Linked DNA regions of Sus scrofa. Each later gene encodes a partner of the first gene's protein in a complex. Links are inferred from orthologs where the notes say so. Each region holds a gene or a part of one and is shown in the gene's direction. Other genes may lie near its edges.

Evidence for each region.
Region 2: PIGS (region 1) and GPAA1 share a complex: the UniProt entries of both Homo sapiens proteins name them as parts of the GPI-anchor transamidase complex. The link is inferred for Sus scrofa from reciprocal best matches to the Homo sapiens genes PIGS and GPAA1.
Region 3: the proteins of PIGS (region 1) and PIGT are in contact, whole or in part, in a cryo-EM structure (PDB 8IMY), measured with the Homo sapiens proteins. The link is inferred for Sus scrofa from reciprocal best matches to the Homo sapiens genes PIGS and PIGT. Residues at the interface, in NP_149975.1 of Homo sapiens: Thr9, Glu12, Val13, Gly16, Ala19, Ala20, Phe23, Thr230, Pro238, Lys239, Tyr244, Ile247, Glu248, Val251, Gln256, Val270, Asp271, Ser272, Gln273, Ile274, Tyr276, Tyr277, Met279, Ser309, Arg310, Ser313, Ser314, Ala315, Ala316, Phe513; in NP_057021.2 of Homo sapiens: Pro26, Arg27, Val63, Ser64, His65, Tyr66, Arg67, Lys71, Gln75, Lys79, Tyr80, Val133, Gly136, Lys191, Leu193, Pro194, Cys195, Ser196, Lys198, Ala199, Glu270, Pro271, Pro273, Leu274, Tyr526, Ile529, Cys530, Cys533, Val536, Ala537.
Region 4: the proteins of PIGS (region 1) and PIGU are in contact, whole or in part, in a cryo-EM structure (PDB 8IMX), measured with the Homo sapiens proteins. The link is inferred for Sus scrofa from reciprocal best matches to the Homo sapiens genes PIGS and PIGU. Residues at the interface, in NP_149975.1 of Homo sapiens: Ala4, Gly5, Ala8, Thr9, Glu12, Arg15, Arg18, Ala19, Phe22, Phe23, Val26, Leu30, Leu34, Trp35, Thr38, Thr39, Leu510, Leu511, Phe513, Ile521, Tyr522, Leu525, Phe526; in NP_536724.1 of Homo sapiens: Gln118, Phe282, Glu283, His284, Phe285, Leu287, Phe288, Phe289, Cys291, Val292, Phe293, Ile295, Phe299, Tyr300, Ile302, Pro303, Ile306, Lys307, Lys309, Glu310, Thr417, His418.

Annotation. Positions count from the first base shown.
Region 1 is NC_010454.4:44,814,359-44,818,688, reverse strand, and holds part of PIGS (GPI transamidase component PIG-S), read left to right. Parts: intron 1-1,447; coding exon 1,448-1,537; intron 1,538-1,796; coding exon 1,797-1,888; intron 1,889-3,153; coding exon 3,154-3,361; intron 3,362-3,652; coding exon 3,653-3,795; intron 3,796-4,330. UniProt on the Homo sapiens protein: Component of the glycosylphosphatidylinositol-anchor (GPI-anchor) transamidase (GPI-T) complex that catalyzes the formation of the linkage between a proprotein and a GPI-anchor and participates in GPI anchored protein biosynthesis.
Region 2 is NC_010446.5:614,834-619,908, reverse strand, and holds the start of GPAA1 (glycosylphosphatidylinositol anchor attachment 1 protein), read left to right. Parts: upstream 1-1,634; 5' UTR 1,635-1,765; coding exon 1,766-1,839; intron 1,840-2,117; coding exon 2,118-2,297; intron 2,298-2,382; coding exon 2,383-2,494; intron 2,495-2,916; coding exon 2,917-3,064; intron 3,065-3,144; coding exon 3,145-3,246; intron 3,247-3,329; coding exon 3,330-3,526; intron 3,527-3,598; coding exon 3,599-3,795; intron 3,796-3,902; coding exon 3,903-4,056; intron 4,057-4,210; coding exon 4,211-4,306; intron 4,307-4,431; coding exon 4,432-4,622; intron 4,623-4,695; coding exon 4,696-4,866; intron 4,867-4,991; coding exon 4,992-5,075. Other genes in the region: EXOSC4 (exosome complex component RRP41), read left to right, coding at 56-415. UniProt on the Homo sapiens protein: Component of the glycosylphosphatidylinositol-anchor (GPI-anchor) transamidase (GPI-T) complex that catalyzes the formation of the linkage between a proprotein and a GPI-anchor and participates in GPI anchored protein biosynthesis. Binds GPI-anchor.
Region 3 is NC_010459.5:47,747,392-47,750,828, forward strand, and holds the end of PIGT (GPI transamidase component PIG-T), read left to right. Parts: intron 1-635; coding exon 636-801; intron 802-924; coding exon 925-1,008; intron 1,009-2,019; coding exon 2,020-2,272; 3' UTR 2,273-2,661; downstream 2,662-3,437. UniProt on the Homo sapiens protein: Component of the glycosylphosphatidylinositol-anchor (GPI-anchor) transamidase (GPI-T) complex that catalyzes the formation of the linkage between a proprotein and a GPI-anchor and participates in GPI anchored protein biosynthesis.
Region 4 is NC_010459.5:38,077,881-38,082,861, reverse strand, and holds the start of PIGU (phosphatidylinositol glycan anchor biosynthesis class U protein precursor), read left to right. Parts: upstream 1-1,799; coding exon 1,800-1,929; intron 1,930-4,981. UniProt on the Homo sapiens protein: Component of the glycosylphosphatidylinositol-anchor (GPI-anchor) transamidase (GPI-T) complex that catalyzes the formation of the linkage between a proprotein and a GPI-anchor and participates in GPI anchored protein biosynthesis.

The DNA of each region.
Region 1 (4,330 bases):
CTGCATATATGACCTGGAATTTTTTTTTTATAAAGAAGAACTTTCCCAATAAATTTTAGGTTCAGCTTATCAAATTCCAGGCAGCAAAGAAAAAAAAAATCCTTTGAGATTGCTTTACACATTTAGATTAATGAAGAGAATTGACATCCTTAGACTATTTACTCTTGCCATCAAGGAGCTTTGTATGTGTTTTCTATTTTATTTAGATCTTCTATGTCATTGAGTAAAGTCCTGTTTTTGTCTTTTCCAGGGCCGTACCCGGGGCATATGAAGGTTCCCAGGCTAGGGATCTAATCCAAGCTGTAGCCGCTGGCCTACGCCACAGCCACAGCAACGACAGATCTGAGCTGAGTCTGCAACCTACACCACAGCTCAGAGCAATGCTGGATCCTTAACCCACTGAGCAAGGCCAGGGATCAAACCCGCAACCTCATGGTTCCTAGTCAGATTTGTTAACCACTGTGCCACAACGGGAACTCCTGTGACTGGTATTTTTAAAAATACTTTATAAATTGGCTCTTGCTGATATTTATCAAAAAGCTGTTGTTCTTGCATATTCTTGCAATTATTTTTTAGTTGGTTGTCTTTGATTTCACTTGTTTATTTTTTAATTATTTTTTAATTTTTGTGGCACTCCCATGCCATGCGGAAGTTCCCAGGCCAGGGAATGGACCTGTGCCACATCAGCAATATGAGCCACAGCAGTGACAAAGCTGGATCCTTGATCTGCTGAGCCACCAGGGAACTCCAGTTCTTTCTGATCCTCATAGAAAATTATTAGGCTTTTGCAAAAGTGTCCATTTTGCCTTTCTTTCAAATGTTCACGTTACTCTCTTTTCATTTACTCCATTGGTGAAGAACTTCAGAAAGAGCAGTACTGAGTAAGAGAGGAGTTAGCAGGCATCTTTGTTTTATTATGGATATTTTTTTCGCTGTGCCTGAGGCATGTGGAAGTGGCTAGGGATCAAACCCATGCCACAGCAACAACCCAAGCCACAGCAGTGATAATGCCGTATCCTTAACCCACTGAGCCACTGGGGAAATTCCGTTAATTTTAATGAAATTATATTTAGTGTTTTGTCTTGTTTTTATCAAGAATGTTCACTGAGGTTAATTATATTGAGGCACCTATTGAAATGATCATATGGTTTTTCTCCTATTACCTATTCAGGTCATGAATATTGTAATAGATTTCCCAGTGGGAGGGTACTTGAGGTTGAAGGTAGTGTGTACACAGGCAGAGGCAAGAGCTGGGCAGGTGGAAGAGGTGGAGTGTCCTGTGTTTATATCATCCATGCAGAAATCATTAGAATGGGCTGTAGCTTCTTGGTGTTTCTCTGCAAACAATTATCTTACTGTCTTTAGATACCGTGCAGTGTTAGGGCTGGAAAGGTAGGCAGAGGTCTGATGCTTGCTCTTCTCAACATGCTTCTTCCTTTTCTCTCAGACAAACTGAAAATCAAATGCCGTTTCCAGAAGGCCTATCGGAGGGCTTTGGACCATGAGGAGGAGGCCCTCTCATCGGGCAGTGTACAAGGTACCCAAAGGACTAATCATTTTAATAGGAACCCCTCTTTTCCCTTCTGATCTCGAAGTGTGTAGTTTCCATACCTTGTCTTAACTCCAAACTCTCTCTGGGAGAGCTGGGAATGAGACACCTTGTGGCTCAGCCTGGGCCCCTGAGGGCCAAGCCTGGCCACAGTGTCAGCTGGGTGTGAGCGGGAGGTAGAGTGATGGGTTAGGTGCTGTGTGGGGGCCAGAGGATGACCTGGTACACTACCTGCTCTTGTCCACAGAGGCTGAAACCATGTTAGCTGAGCCGCTGGAGCAAGCCGAGGGCTCCCTGACAGTGTATGTGATCTCAGAGCACTCCCCACTTCTCCCCAAGGTGAGATGAGCAGAGAGGCTGCGGTCCTGCCGTATCCTTTCAGCTCGTCCTCTCCTAAGTCTCCTCCTTGCAGTATTGCTGCCTTCCATTTGCTGTAGAAGTTTTTTTTTTTTTTTAATTTATTTGTTTATTTGTTTATTTATTTATTTTAGGGCTGCACCCGTGGCATATAGAAGTTCCCAGGCTAGGGGTCACATCAAAGCTGCAGCTGCCGGCCTTTGCCACAGCTACAGCAACACAAGATCCGAGTCCCGTGTGCCACCTACACCACAGCTCAAGGCAACCCCAGATCCTTAACCCATTGGGCGGGCCAGGGATCAGACCCGCAACCTCACGCATACTAGTCAGGTTCGTAACTGCTGAACCTCAAGGGCAACTCCCGAAAGAAAACTTTAATGACTGTCCATGCACCCGCTCCCAAATTTGCAAACTACAATATAGACTCATGCAGCTCCATGGTTATACCCTGTTCCCTTTCAGCCCATGGTGGCCATATTTTGTATGTGCGATTTTCTTACTTTTCTTTCAAGTTTTATCATGTATGTTGTATCTCTATCAATAATATATTTAATTTTACATGTTTTTAAAGTTTATATAAATGGTAAAATATAGCACACGTTCTTTGGTTTTTCATTTTGCTCGACATTTACGCTTGAATCATCCACGATAATATATGCAGTTGCATCTAATGCATTCATATTATTTTGGGCCACGCCTGTGGCATGCGCGAGTTCCCAGGCCACGGACTGAACCCACATCACAGCAATGACAACGCCAGGTCCTTTACCTGCCAAGCCACCAGGGAAGCCCTGATGGGTTCATTTTAAATTCTGTCTACTGTTTCATTGTATAAACATATCCCAGTTTATCCATTCACTTGCTGACAGGCATTTGGGTTGTCTCTGGTGTTAAACTAAAATAATGCTGCTGTGAAAATTCCTGTACTTGCCTCTTTGCCACGTGTCAAACTTCCTTGCTGCTTGTTTCTTCTTGCTCAGCATGCTGTCTCTTAGTTTCCAGCCTGGGAAGATGTAGATATTGCCTGGACCTGGGTTGATGGGAAAGAGAGGCAACTGAAATCAAGGAAAACACTCAGATATACCCAGAGCTCAGAAAAGCTGTGATGGTGGTTTACTATGACTCTAGAAAGAGGTGCAGGCCTATTGGGCAGCGGCAGAAGGCCAGATTCTCAGACAGGAGCCTGGGTGCTCTTCTGCTTTCTTCCCTGAGCCGTGGGCATCCTGGCCCCTGCTTGCCCCTCGCAGGACATGATGAGCTACATCGGGCCCAAGAGGACCGCGGTCGTGCGGGGGATCACGCACCGGGAGGCCTTCAACATCATCGGCCGCCGCATCATCCAGGTCGCCCAGGCCATGTCTCTGACGGAGGACGTGCTCGCTGCGGCTCTGGCCGACCACCTTCCAGAGGACAAGTGGAGCTCTGATAAGAGGCGGCCCCTCAAGTCCAGCTTGGGTAGGGTGACCGGGCTCTGCCATGGGAAGGGAGAGGGAAGTGAGTGATGTGGAGACATGGGGACAGGAGGGGAATCTGCATGCAGACGCTTCACTCCTGTCTTCCGTGGCTTCATCTTTTTCTGAAAGCACTCCGTGTCCCTCATCCCAGTTTTATCCTCCCTTTGGTTTCATGATGGCCACCAGCCCCACTCCCATTCCAGAGGAGAAGCAAGTGCAGCTCCGCCAGGGGTACAGGCTGCCTCCTTTGATGCTCAGAAGCCTCTGGCTTCCCTGACTCCTGTTTCTACAGGCTACGAAATCACCTTCAGTTTACTCAACCCTGACCCCAAGTCCCATGACGTCCACTGGGACATTGAGGGGGCTGTCCGGCGCTTTGTGCAGCCCTTCCTGAATGCCCTCAGTGCTGCAGGCAACTTCTCAGTGGACTCTCAGGTGAGCCTGGGAGCACGTTGAGCCCTTTTCCGGGTTGTGCCATCCTTTTGCAAGTCCCTCCGTGTTTCGCATTTACAGGTGTGGTCTCTTAGAGACTGCTGATTTGCTAGGAAATTTCTGTGCATACATAGGGTTCCAGGGTTTACTTTTCCTCCCTGGTGTCCAGTTTGGGGGTTTTGTCAATATGTCCTAAAAAGCTAGTTTCCTTATGGCTCCCTCTAGAACTGCATTCACCAGCCGCGTCACCCATAGGGAATTTATTACAAAACAAACGGAGGAAGTACCTTTCAAGAGCAGCGGAAACAAATCCGACTAGTATCCATGAGGAGGCGGATTCAATCCCTGGCCTTGCTTGGTGGGTTGGGGATCTGGCATTGTCGTAAGTGGTGGTACAGGTCGCAGACCCGGCTCGGATCCTGCGTTGCTGCGGCTGTGGTGCAGGCCGGCAGCTGCAGCTCCGATTCAACCCCTGGCCTAAGAAATTCCATATGCACAGGTGTGGCCCTAAAAAGCAAAAAAAAAAAAAAAAAAAAAA
Region 2 (5,075 bases), on another chromosome or scaffold:
GTCGGGCATCAGCAGCCTAATGGACTGACACCACTGGGGGGGGGTGTCACTGCAGGTGCTGCAGGCAGATGGTGGGATCTATGCGGCTTGTGTGAACGTGGCCACACTGGCAGTGCTGGACGCCGGGATACCCATGCGGGACTTTGTATGTGCCTGCTCAGCTGGCTTTGTGGATGGGACAGCCCTGGCAGACCTCAGCCATGTGGAGGAAGCAGCTGGTGGCCCCCAGCTGGCCCTGGCCCTGCTGCCAGCCTCAGGCCAGATCGCACTGCTGGAGATGGATGCAAGGCTTCATGAGGACCACCTGGAGCAGGTGCTAGAGGCCGCTGCCCAGGCCGCCCGAGATGTGCACACCGTACTGGACCGTGTGGTCCGGCAACACGTACAAGAGGCCTCGATCTTGCTGGGGGACTGAGTACACGGCCGCCCAGGCCCAGAATAAAACTCACACGCGCTCAGTCCACTGTACTTTGATCTCCCCAAAGCACCTCCGTGCCCTCAGAGCCCGGCCCGGAGCTGGCTCCAGGGGCGACAAAGGGTGCTCCCTACGCGTGAACTGCGTAACCCTTGCAGCCTCAGGATTCCAACCCTGAGGAAGGGGGCGGTGGGTGTCCCTGGGTGAAGAGAGGCGCTTGTGTCATGAAGGGTTCAAGACAGCTGAGCAATGTGGCAAGGCCTGGTGTAATGAGCCAAGCCCTCATACTGTGGAGTCTGATTCTCACTGCAGCACATCCAGGGCCTTGAGCACAAGTGCTGAGGGAGAACTCCTTTGGCTATGGGTGCCACCAAGGTGATGGGGGGGCACCTCCCACATCCTCTGGATTATGTCTTGGACTGAATGGTCCCTTTCCCCCCAGAATCCCTTGAGCTTGTCCTGTGGCTTATCTTGAGCTCTGAAAGTACAACAGCGACATGATCTTGGCTCTGGCCCTTTCTCAGTCTGACCCAGACACTCCCCAACCCATGGTTGCACCTTCCTTCCAAATCTCTTTCTGCCTCCTGCTGTCAGACCTGCCTGAGCCCTGACCACCAGCCCCTGCTGTCTGAACTCAGGGACTACTTTTCTAATATCCCAGATACCTGGCCTGGACAGGCGGGCTCCCCATTTTCTATTCCACACACCCAAGCTCCTTTGCAACCCCTTTTGGCCAGCAGTATTCATGCACCTTCCTTCCTGTGGTCATCTGGCCCCACTGACCTTGGTTCTGGGCACAATACGTGATTCCACTCGGGCCCCTACTGCTGTTTTTTGGTGACCGACATTCACAGGAATAGGTCCGCCATCGCCTTGGCCTCAGCTCACAGAAGCCCCTTCACTTCCCGCGAGGGCACTCAAGCCTGTCGTTGTCAGTGGCAGCAGCATCTTCAGACATCTTCCAGTGTCTACGCTCTGGTCGCTGCTTCCGGTTTTCCTCCCACCTGCCCCATTCATCATCCCGATTCTCCTTCGAGCCGAGCGTTCTCGACTAGTCAGTCTTCATTGCCCTCCGGCGCCACACGCCGCGGTCGGCCGGCCTGGAGGCTGCTCCCGTTCTGCGCCAGCGAGGAAACGCAGACGCGGGGGCAACTCCCTTCCCAGCAGCTCTGCTCGGGGCTTGCGGGGTGGGGGCGCGACGGGCGGCATCGCGCACGCGCAGCGGCGCGAGGCCCGCCGGGACCGGAAGTGCGGGTGGGCGCGGAGCCCCGCGGGGACCGGAGCGGCGCGCCGGGCCGGGTGCCGTAGCTGGCAGCGGGGAGCGCGGTCCCGGAGCCGCCCGGCCCTGCCATGGGCCTCCTGTCGGACCCGGTGCGCCGGCGCGCGCTCGCCCGCCTGGTGCTGCGCCTCAACGCGCCGCTCTGGTGAGGGGGGTGCCTGGGAGCGGGGGCCGGAGGACCGGGGCTCGAGCTGCCGGGGCCCCTCCGGGTGCTCGCGCCAGTCTTCTCCCGCCCACCGGCATCACTCGGGGCACCAGGCCTGGGGCTCAGCCCTCCCGTCCGGCGTCCCGGGTGCTGGGACTCGGGATCCAGGTCCCACAGATATGACGCCTCCACCCCCCCAGTGCGGAGGTAGAGGCTACGGGCTGGCATCTCGGAGCCTGCTAATGCTCCAGCGGCCCCCTCCGCCCCTCTCCCCGCAGTGTGCTGAGCTACGTGGCGGGCATCGCCTGGTTCCTGGCGCTGGCTTTCCCGCCGCTGACCCAGCGCACTTACATGTCGGAGAACGCCATAGGCTCCACTATGGTGGAGGAGCAATTTTCGGGCGGAGACCGTGCCCGGAGCTTTGCCCGGGACTTCGCTGCTCACCGCAGGAAGACGGGGTGAGCGGCAGAGCCATGCGTACGCTGGAAGCAATACCAGTCAAAGCCAGAGAGCTCTGCTCAGAAGATCTCTTTGTGTCTTTAGGGCCCTGCCAGTGGCTTGGCTGGAGCGGACGATGCGGTCAGTGGGGCTGGAGGTCTACACGCAGAGTTTCTCCCGGAAACTGCCCTTTCCAGATGAGACCCACGAGCGCTATGTATTGTGGTGGAGGGGGTGTGCTTGCGACCAAAAAGCACCTTGAAGGGGAGGGAGATGTCCTGGGTCCAGAGAAATCATTGGTGGGCATTCTAGGACTAAAGAGGTGGGGCTTGGAGTTCCCGTCGTGCATAGCTGAAATGAATCTGGCTAGGATCCAGGAGGTTGTGGGTTCGACCCCTGGCTTCGCTCAGTGGGTTAAGGATCGGGCGTTGCCCTGAGCCGTGGTGTAGGTTGCAGACGTGGCCTGGATCTGGCATGGTTGTGACTGTAGCGTAGGCCAGAGGCTACAGCTCTGATTCGACCCCTAGCCTGGGAATCTCCATACGCTGCACCCGTGGCCCTAAAAAGACCCCCAAAAAAAGTGGGGCTTCAGCTTCGTCGAGTGGGGTCCTGCTGAGGCTCCCCCAATACTGCACGCAGATGGTGTCAGGCGTGAACGTTTACGGCATCCTCCGGGCCCCGCGCGCCGCCAGCACAGAGTCCCTGGTGCTTACCGTCCCCTGCGGCTCTGACTCTACCAACAGCCAGGCTGTCGGGCTGCTGCTGGCACTTGCTGCCCACTTCCGGGGTGAGGCTTAAGGGCGACTGCTGGCAAGGGAGGGTTTGGCCACTTCCCCAGGCCCTGCTGACCCAGCCTCTGGCCTCCAGGGCAGATCTACTGGGCCAAAGACATCATCTTCCTGGTGACAGAACACGACCTCCTGGGCACTGAGGCCTGGCTTGAAGCCTACCACGACGTCAATGTCACTGGTGTGTCCCTGCCCTGCCCCTCTGAGGCCAGCCCCCCCCCCCCAACAGCCCCTTGTTGGCAGCTCCTTCACCTGCTCCCACAGGTATGCAGTCCTCCGCTCTGCAGGGCCGGGCGGGGGCCATCCAGGTGGCTGTGGCCTTGGAGCTAAGCAGTGATGTGATCACCAGCCTGGACGTGGCTGTGGAGGGGCTCAACGGGCAGCTGCCCAACTTGGACCTGCTCAACCTCTTCCAGACTTTCTGCCAGAAAGGGGGCCTGCTGTGCACACTGCAGGGCAAGGTACGGCCACCCGCCTGGGGAGCACGGGGCCTGTGTGTAGAGTTTATCTGACCTTGTTCCCACACCTCTAAGCTGCAGCCCCAGGACTGGACATCAGTAGACAGGCCACTGCAGAGTGTGCAGACACTGCTACTCATGGTTCTGCAACAGGCCTCTGGCCGCCCCCACGGCCCCCACGGCCTCTTCCTGCGCTACCGCGTGGAGGCTCTAACTCTCCGTGGCATCAATAGCTTCCGCCAGTACAAGTACGACCTGGTGGCAGTGGGCAAGTAAGTGCTTCCAGCCTCCCCTTGCACGCCCGGGCCGAGGGGTGGGTGCCGGGGGTCTGGCGTGCCATGGCCGTGACCGTGACCGTGACCGTGACCGCACCCGGCAGGGCTCTGGAGGGCATGTTCCGCAAGCTCAACCACCTCCTGGAGCGTCTGCATCAGTCCTTCTTCTTCTACCTGCTGCCCGCGCTCTCCCGCTTCGTCTCCATTGGCCTCTACATGCCGGCCGCCGGCTTTCTGCTCCTGGTCCTTGGTCTCAAGATATCCTCTGCCTCTCGCTGTTGGAGCCGACCTCAGGTCCCCTCCACTCTGGGGCCCTCCACTCGGGGGGAGCAGGGGTGGCGAGTGGGCGTAGGGCCTGGGTCCCCCACCCAGCAGACCTCATCACACCTCTCAGGATCCTTGACCAGGCCACGCTCTGGAACTGTGGATGCAGCTGCATGAGGCTGGCGTGGGTCCCCAGGAGGCTGGGGGGACCGCCGGATCCAGTCCTCCCTTCCCGCCAACACAGGTGACTGTCCCCCTGCTCCTGTTGTTGGGGGGGCTGCCACTCCGTCTCGGCTGGCAGGTGGAGGGAGGATCCTTGGGACTCCCCCGGCCCCGGGGCCTGTCTCCAAGTGCCTGTGTGCCCTGCAGAGTGTGGGGCTGGCCTCGCTTGTGGCGCCCTTGCTGATCTCCCAGGCGGTGGGCCTGGCCCTCTACCTCCTGCCGGTGCTGGGTCAACATGTGGCCGCCCAGCACTTCCCCGTGGCTGAGGCCGAGGCCGTGGTGCTGACGCTGCTGGCTGTCTATGCAGCTGGCCTGGCGCTTCCACACAACACCCACCGGTGAGGAGCTGGGCTGGGCGGGCCCGGGCAGGGGCTCCCTGGACATGCTGCCTCTGAGTTCCTTGCCTTGCAGGGTCGTGAGCACACAGGCCCCAGACAGGGGCTGGATGGCCCTGAAGCTGGTAGCCTTGATCTGCCTGGCCCTACAGCTGGCCTGCATCACCCTCACCAACTTCTCTCTGGGCTTTCTGCTGGCTGCTACCATGGTGCCCGCCGCCGCACTCACCAAGCCCTCTGGGCCCCGGTACGCACTGGCCAGCCCCTGCCCCCAGGGCCCGTGCCCCTTAGCACGGACTCTGGCCTCCTCCGCCACCGGTGCCTGTTGCCCCACTGGCCTCAGAGCCCAGTTTGACCCCGCTTCTCCCCCAGGCCCCTCTATGCTGCCCTGCTGGTGCTGACGAGCCCAGCAGCTGTCCTCCTGAGTAGCCTGTTCCTGTGGCGGGAGCTGCAGGA
Region 3 (3,437 bases), on another chromosome or scaffold:
ACGTTCCTCCATCCTTTGTGTGTTCTGGAGTATTGGTGGTTGATGTAGAAACTTGATTAGGAGTTCCCGTCGTGGCTCAGTGGTTAACGAATCCGACTAGGAACCATGGGGTTTCAGGTTCAATCCCTGGTCTCTGGCACTGCCGTGAGCTGTGGTGTAGGTCACAGACCTGGCTCAGGTCCCGAGTTGTGGCTCTGGGGAAGGCCAGCGGCTACAGCTCCAATTAGACCCCTAGCCTGGGAACCTCCATATGCCTCGGGTGCAGCCCTAGAAAAGACAAAAAAAAAAAGAAACTTGATTAGATTTAGGTCTGCTGTTTTAGGCAAGAAGACTTCCCAGGTGGTTCTGTGGACTTCCTCTTGCATCCCATGAGGCACCTGATGTCTGGTGGCCCAGTTCTGGGGATGCGAAGATGGATTAGGTCAAACACGTCCTGGGATGGCTGCCCTGGAAACATCTTTTCCCTTTTCTGAGATCCTCCTCCCTCCTGTGAGCCTGCCAGGCTTCTGTGATCCAAAGCCCTCCTTCTCAGCACCCCGATCCAGGGCCCGCCCCCGGGCCTCAATAGGTAGGGACAAAAGATGCAGGGGGTCTGAGCCCTGAAAGAGCTGTGGGTGGGCCCTGCCTGTCTCCAGGTTATATCCACTACCAGCCTGCCCGGGACCGGCTGCAGCCCCACCTCCTGGAGATGCTGATTCAGCTGCCAGCCAACTCGGTCACCAAGGTCTCCATCCACTTTGAGCGGGCGCTGCTGAAGTGGACTGAGTACACCCCGGACCCCAACCACGGCTTCTATGTCAGGTGGGCTCCCCCAACGGTCACCTGCGGCCCCCCGGCCTCCTGACCCACCCTCTCCATGGCTTACTGGTGATGGAGGACCCGTGAGGAACATGGCTCATGGAATATCTGTGGGCTTCTCTGCAGCCCTTCTGTCCTCAGCGCCCTCGTGCCCAGCGTGGTGGCCGCCAAACCCGTGGACTGGGACGAGAGCCCCCTCTTCAACACGCTGTAAGTGTGACCTCAGCTGCCGGTGACCGGGAGGCACCAGCACAGAGGGTCAGGTTCCCACAGGGTGGCCTGGGGCTAGATGTTGCCTCTTCCAAAGTCTTGTGTAGATTTACTCAGTCCCAACTAAAACCCTTGGGGTCCATATTTGTACAACCGTTATGAAATGATCCTAAAGTGCCTCTAGGAGAATTAGCTGGTGAGACGAGCAGTACGTATAGCCCACATTTCCTCATCGATTCTCTTAACAAATATTTAATTGAGCGCTTATCAGCTGCCAGGAACTTCAGAGAGCACTGGGTGTGCAGTGGTGAAGAAAGCAAACTTGCCGCCGCCCTGCTTGTGCTCACAGGCTAGAGGGGACGGGCTGTTCCAGAGGGTGATGGGCTCGGGGTTACTGGGGAGTAAGCTGGTGGGTCATCCAGGAGGGCTTCTTTGAGGAGATGGCCTTTAGGCTGAGACCAGAAGGCCAAGGGAGAGGCAGTGGCAGCCAAGGGAGGACAGGGTCCCTTTCCTCTCCCTCAGCACAGCCTAGCTCTCCTTTGATCACATTTATGCATTGAGCTTTAAAAGGCTCTGAGGCTTTGCAATATTCTGAAAATTAAAATAAATAAATAAATAAATAAATAGAGTTCCTGTTGTGGCGCAGCGGATCACGAACCTGACTAGTATCCAAGAGGATGCGGGTTCGATCCCTGGCCTTGCTCAGTGGGTCAGAGATCCTGTGTTGTCCTGAGCTGTGGTGTAGGTCGCAGACGCGGCTCAGATCCCGTGTTGCTGCTGTGGCTCAGGTGTAGGCCGGCGGCTGTAACTCTGATTCGACTCCCTTGCCTGGGAACCTCCATATGCCATGTATGTGGCCTAAAAAAAAAAAAAAAAAAGGCTCTGAGGCTAAGAAAGCGTTGAAAACCCTTACCAGGGAGATGGGCTCAGGGCAGCCCAAGGCGGGGAGGTAGGGGGGTTCGATGGGGAGGAGCAGCCGGTCCTGCCTCACGCCCTGCTTGGCCGCCGCAGCTTCCCAGTCTCCGACGGCTCCAGCCACTTCGTGCGGCTCTACACGGAGCCGCTGCTGGTGAACCTGCCCACCCCGGACTTCAGCATGCCCTACAACGTCATCTGCCTCACGTGCACCGTGGTGGCCGTGTGCTACGGCTCCTTCTACAATCTCCTCACCCGAACCTTCCACATCGAGGAGCCCAGAACGGGCGGCCTGGCGAAGCGGCTGGCCAACCTGATCCGGCGCGCCCGGGGCGTCCCGCCGCTCTGAGACCCCGCACGCCGCCCGGCTGCCGCATCTCCCTGTCTTGCTGCCACCTGCTCTCCGCAGAGGTGGCTTCGGAACCACATGGACCCCTGGACTGGGCCAGGGCCCAGAGCTGCACTGTGCAGTGCGGGAAGCATGAGCGGAGACATGGCATTTGACTTTAATTTAAATTGAAAGTGCGTTTCCTCAGCTGTTCCAGCCACATTTCAAGGGCTCGGTCACCAAAACTGATGAGTGACCGCTGTACCGGCGGCTCGACAAGTGTTTCCATCATCCCAGAAGGTTCTGTGGGTCAGCCCTGGCCTGGATCACTGGGCAAGCTCAAGAATTGGTTATCACTGTGTGGGAGGTGGAATTTACTGGTTGTGGAATAAAAAGTGTCTACATCCTTGGTTCTTTGCCTCCTGTCCTTGAGGCCTGGGAGGCGCTGGGGACTAGGGCTTGTTTGCTGGGTTCCTGAACAGGACCTTCCACAACCAACCAACAGAAAGACAACCAAGCAACCAAATAAAACTCGCCTACCTCCTGCCACTCCTGCCAGCAGCTCCCCCTGTGTCCTGCTTCCCTCTTCCCCCACCAACCTCATCTCACTGTAATTCCCAGAACTCCCTGGGTTTGTCTGGGAGTGTTTATGTCAGCATCTCCATGACCGTGAAAGTGAATCATCTTGTGCCTTTTAGGAGCCCTGAGAACCATCCCCTATCTCCAAGGCTGGGGCTGGAGAGACAGAAAAGCTCCGGGTGGTGGTTTTCCAACCAAACTGTATTGGAATCATTTGGGGCTCCTGTGAATTAATGAGGATTCCTGAGGTCCAGGCCCTGTGAAGTCAGTTGGGCTGGGTGTAGCCCAGCCTTCAGCGATTTTTATCAGGCCCCTCAGGAGCTTGTGTTGTGGGTGGTCCCTAGACCACCCACTGGCTTTGAAGGCCTTGGATTGAAGCCTGCTGCTGCCCACCCCTTCCGGGTTGTATAACCCTGGATTCCTGTAAATCAAGTCCTTAGGCAGATGTCTGCCCTGCCCCCTCCTCCTGTCTCTTCCTCTGACAACACTTGGCATCCACTATATGTTACTTACGGTCTGGGTCTGCCACCCCTCCTTCCCCCACTTCTTTTTTTTTTTTTTTTAGGGCCACACCAGCAGCATATGGAGGTTCCCAGGCTAGAGGCGG
Region 4 (4,981 bases), on another chromosome or scaffold:
GAGCATTTGACTGCAAATGTTACCTTTTCCCAGAGTCTTCCCTGACCATTCTGTGTAGTATTACCACCACCATTCCACCAAGTTATTCTTTTTTAATTTTTTTTCTTTTTTATGGCCGCACCTGGGGCATGTGGAAATTCCCAGGCTATGCATTGAATCAGAGCTGCAGCTAAGGCCTATGCCACAGCCAGTGCAACACCGGATCCTCAACTCACTGAATGAGGGCCAGGGATTGAACCCACATCCTCACATACACTATGTCCGGTTCTTAACCCACTGAGCCACAACGGGAACTCCCCACCAAATTATTTTTGATTATGCAACCTGTTTCATTTCCTTCACAGATCTTAAATTTCCTTATATTTATTTAATATTTTAATTACTATAGCTAACATTTAAGCATTCATCATAAGTATTTTTTATACATTAATGAAGTGGTGTGCTACTTATGCTTATTGATGGCTCTCCAAACTCCAAAACTCTGACACACTGTTTGCCAATTTCTGTGGTGTAAACATTCCCATTGATTGGGATTTCAAACTATCAAACTTAAGTCACTAAACATGATTTGGGAAGGCAAGGGCAGAAGTATACCATTATACAGTATTTGCCATAGTGATATAGCAGTGGTAAATAACCTCAAGAGCACAGATAAAACAAGAGTGTAGTAAAATACTTAGCAAGGGATGTTTTGAGTATTTATTACCTTGTTGTTTACACAACTTATTGAATTGTAGGTTTGTATAAGTTAATTTTTGATAATAGCTGAGTTTATTTTTATTTAATTTCAAAAAAGTATTATTAGGAGTACAGTTGATTTACAATGTTGTGTTAGTTTCAGGCATACAGCAAAGTGAATCATTTACACATATAAACACTTTCATTCTTAGATACTTTTTTTTTTTTTTTTAATTTTATGGCTGTACCCGAGGCATATGGAAGCTCCTGGGGAGGGGGATACTGAATCCCAGCCACAGCCGCGGCAATTCAGGATCCTTAATCCACTGAGCAGGGTTGGGGATGGAACCAGCAACACCACAAAGATAAGCCAGATCATTAATCAACTTCTCTTTAACCAACTTTGCCACAGCAGGAACTCCCTTTTTGGTTTATAAAGGAACCTCCATACTATTCTCCATAGTGGCTGTACTAATTTACAGTAATGTCTGTGTTTAAAAGCGGCTGGCAAAATTTCTAAGCATTCTTCAATGGTTTCTAGCTCACTCACAAGGAGCCAAAAACGAGTGCATTTTTAAGGTGAGGGACCTGAGGCACAGAAAAGTTCGGCAACTTGTTCAAGGCCGCAGAGCTAATAAATCTCTGTAATACTCCACAATGTATCCTCAGAACCCATATAGTTGACATTCTACAAATAAGTATGTAGTAAATCAACGAATACATATTTAATACTCTTTGAAAACATAAAAAAGGAAACATTTTAACACTAAAAACATACACACAAGAGTGAAATGAACGTTTCTTTAAAACTCGCTCAACAATTCCAGGATGGTAACTGTCTTCACGTGTCTCCTTTCAGCAGCACCTCAGTGCTATTACAATTCACCTGCTATAGTGGGAGACCTCGCCCAACCCTTTGCTATAAGCTTGAGGCGCCCCGCTTTCCGTCGCCACGCCCTACTTCGCCGCAAGGCCTCCTGGGAGTGGTAGTTCCCAGTTTGGGAGTTTCGTGGGCAGCCGCGAGGCGCGCTGACCCGCAGAACTACAGAGGGCGGTGCACAGACCGCGAGGCTCTTCCGCCTCGCCTTTCCCCTCCTGCCTGCGCGCCCGCCCCAGCTATCATGGCGGCTCCCTTGGCCTTGGTGCTGGTGGTGGCAGTGACTGTGCGGGCAGCCTTGTTTCGCTCCAGTCTGGCCGAGTTCATCTCGGAGCGGGTGGAGGTGGTGTCCCCACTGAGCTCTTGGAAGAGAGGTGAGGCCACCGGCTCGAGTAGGCGTCCAGGCCCCGCCTGTGCGCCTCTGGCCTCTGTGAATGGGAGGCGGGGGCAGTGGCCGCATGTTCAAGATTCTGAGGGAACTCACCAGTTATCGCGTCCTCGAGCGGGCGAGCGGGGCTGCTAAGGGCGGGGGGACGTTGGTTGGTGTGGTGAGGTTGGGGCCGTAGGGGCTGGTCACCTGCGAGATGTAGATATGAGGGGGTGTGTCCCCCTCGGGTCCTGAGCTGAGGGGCGTGGTCTGAGGAAAGATCTGCTTGAGGAAGGGTCGGGATGAGAAAAGGGCGTGCTAAGTGGAGTGAGTTTTGGCGCGAGATCGCTTGTGCGTGGGTGTGTGTGTGTGTGTGGGGGGGGTGCCCCTGAGGGGACCATTCCTGCATAAGCGAGGAGAGTGTGTGAGTGCCCTTATAAACCTTGTCTCAGCCTGGGACTTGCAGTGCAGCTTCTCCTACTATATCTTATTTCTTTTAAGTTCTTCATCAAACATTGTTTTATACTGGAGCCCACAGAGAGCCAGTTTGGACTAAAGAGTCCACAGGCACTCTAATAAGGCAGACAAACAGATATAGTCATTTATGAAAAGTGTACTTCCTGGAGTTCCCATTGTGGCTCAGTGGATAACAACCCAGGTAGTATCCATTAGGAGGGCTCAGGTTCAACACCTGGCCCTCTCTCAGCGGATTAAAGATCCCTCGTTGCTGTGAGGTGCATTGCAGATCGCAGATGTGGCTTGGATATATCTAGTGTTGTTGTGGCTGTGGTGTAGGCCCACAGCTGCAGCTCTGATTTGACCCCTAGCCTGGGAACTTCATATGCAGCAGGTGTGGCCCTAAAAAAAAAAAAAGAAAAAAGAAAGAAAAGTGTACTTCCTGTGTGCCTCCAGTTCCTTCCTTGGAGTTCTGACCCTGAAGAAAGTGTCCTCTCCTTTTCCAGTTTAAGGAATGTGGGATTTGAGCTAACTCTTGAAGGATGTAGAGTGTGAAAAGGGAGATTAGAGGAAGCGGAGTTTCAGGTAGAAGGTTGTCAGGATCAAGACATGTTGAAAGATGTGAAATGCCCAAAGTAGGGGAGTAATGAGGTGGGTGTAAGGTGAAGGCCAGAATTTGAAGATTTTTTTTTCAAAAAACTTTCTTACTGGAATTCCCTGGTGGCACAGCGGGTTAAGGATCTCCTGTTGTTACTGCTGTGGCTGCAGATTTGATCTCTTGCTGGGGAACTTCTGCGGAATGCTGTGGTCATGGACAAGAAAATAAATAAACTTTTCTTACTGAAGTACAATATACAGACAGTGCACATAATAATAAGTGTATAGCTTAAATAATTTACTATACTCATGTAGCCAGCTTGCAGTTCAAGAAACAGAACATTACCAGCAGCCCAGAAATCCCCTTCATGTCCTTGAACTTTTTTTTTGCTAGGTAAAATCTATTTATTTCTCTAGATGTATTTTCTTTTTTTTTTAGTTTGTATGATTTTTGTTTTTTTCATTATAGTTGATTTACAGTGTTCTGTCAATTTCTCCTGTACAGCAAAGTGAACCAGTCATACGTGTATTTATATATTCTTTTTCTCACATTATCCTCCATCATGTTCCATCACAAGGGACTAGATATAGTTTCCTCTGCTATCCAGCAGGATCTCATTGCTTATCCACTCCAAATGCAATAGTTTGCATCATGTCCTCAAACTTCAAATGCTAGAGTTTTTGATGTTATCCCATTGACATTTTGGAATGGGGAGTCGTGTAATGAATGGCTGTTTTATGAATAATTAGAGCTAACTTTTCTAAAAATACTTCCGGAGACTGGTAAGCCTCATTTTATTCTCCAGTTATTCTTGTATTAGATGGCATTATCTTCCTTATTTTACAGATGAAGAAACTGAGATTTGGTGAAGTTAAGTAGTTTGCCCAGGTTCCAGCTGATAAGTGGTAAAAAGGTAGTTGTAGTTCATATGTGTGATGGTAAGAGTTTAGACTTTATATCTTTGCATATGATATTTGCATATAATTATTTGTTGAACAAATTGAATTGTTTGTTGAAATCACTTGGTTCCTGCTTTCTTCTGAATTCCAGAAGATCCAAGGCAGCATTAGACCCTACTTTCTCTACTCTCTCACCACTTAAAACTACTTATGTCCCTCATTTCTACAGACCCACCAGTTGATTTGATAGTACAGCTAAAATTTATACAAATTTCTTGCTTGACAAAATGCAGATGTATGCTTCCAATAAATAATAATAACTAACGCTGGTGTAAAGCTCTCTGCATGCCAGGTACTGTTCTAAGCATTTTAGATGTGTTAAAAAAAAAAAAGCATTTAGTTTCTATAATGGCACTTTATAGATGAGAATATTAAAGTACAGAGATATTGTTATTTGCTGAAAGTCACATGGATAGTAACATTATGTGATTAGCTGGCAATCTTTAGGCATGGCTGTTTTACCAGTGACCACTGTATAGCATCTTGTGTTATGTGTCAAGAATAATTTTAGAACCTTTCTGTCACATTTGATATTTCTTCAGCCTTTGACTTAAAGATTAGTAATTCTTGTAGGCTTAGCTTTTTGAATCAGGGGAGAGCTCAAATTATTAGTGCTTATTTAGAAACCCATCTCCGGCACCACTATGAGTCAGGGTTGGGAGGAACACTTCTGATGGTATTCCTTAAAAAAAGCAAAAAACTAAAAACCACTTTTTTGTTAAATAAATTCAGAATTAGTAAAATACACACAACAATGTGTTACACAGTTCATTTATTTTAAGGCAAACACTTTTAGAATTGTCGTTCAGGTCAAGAATCAGAACACTGCCACTTACTCTAGAAGTCTTTCCCTACACCCGATCTCAATCACAGCCCTTTCATCCCCCATCATAAGTAACCAGTATTCTGATTTTTTTTTTTTTTTTTTTGGTCTTTTTGCCTTTTCTAGGACCACACTCGTGGCATGTGGAGGTTCCCAGGCTAGGGGTCTAATCGGAGCTGTAGCCACCGGCCTACACCAGAGCCACAGCAGCAACATGGGATCT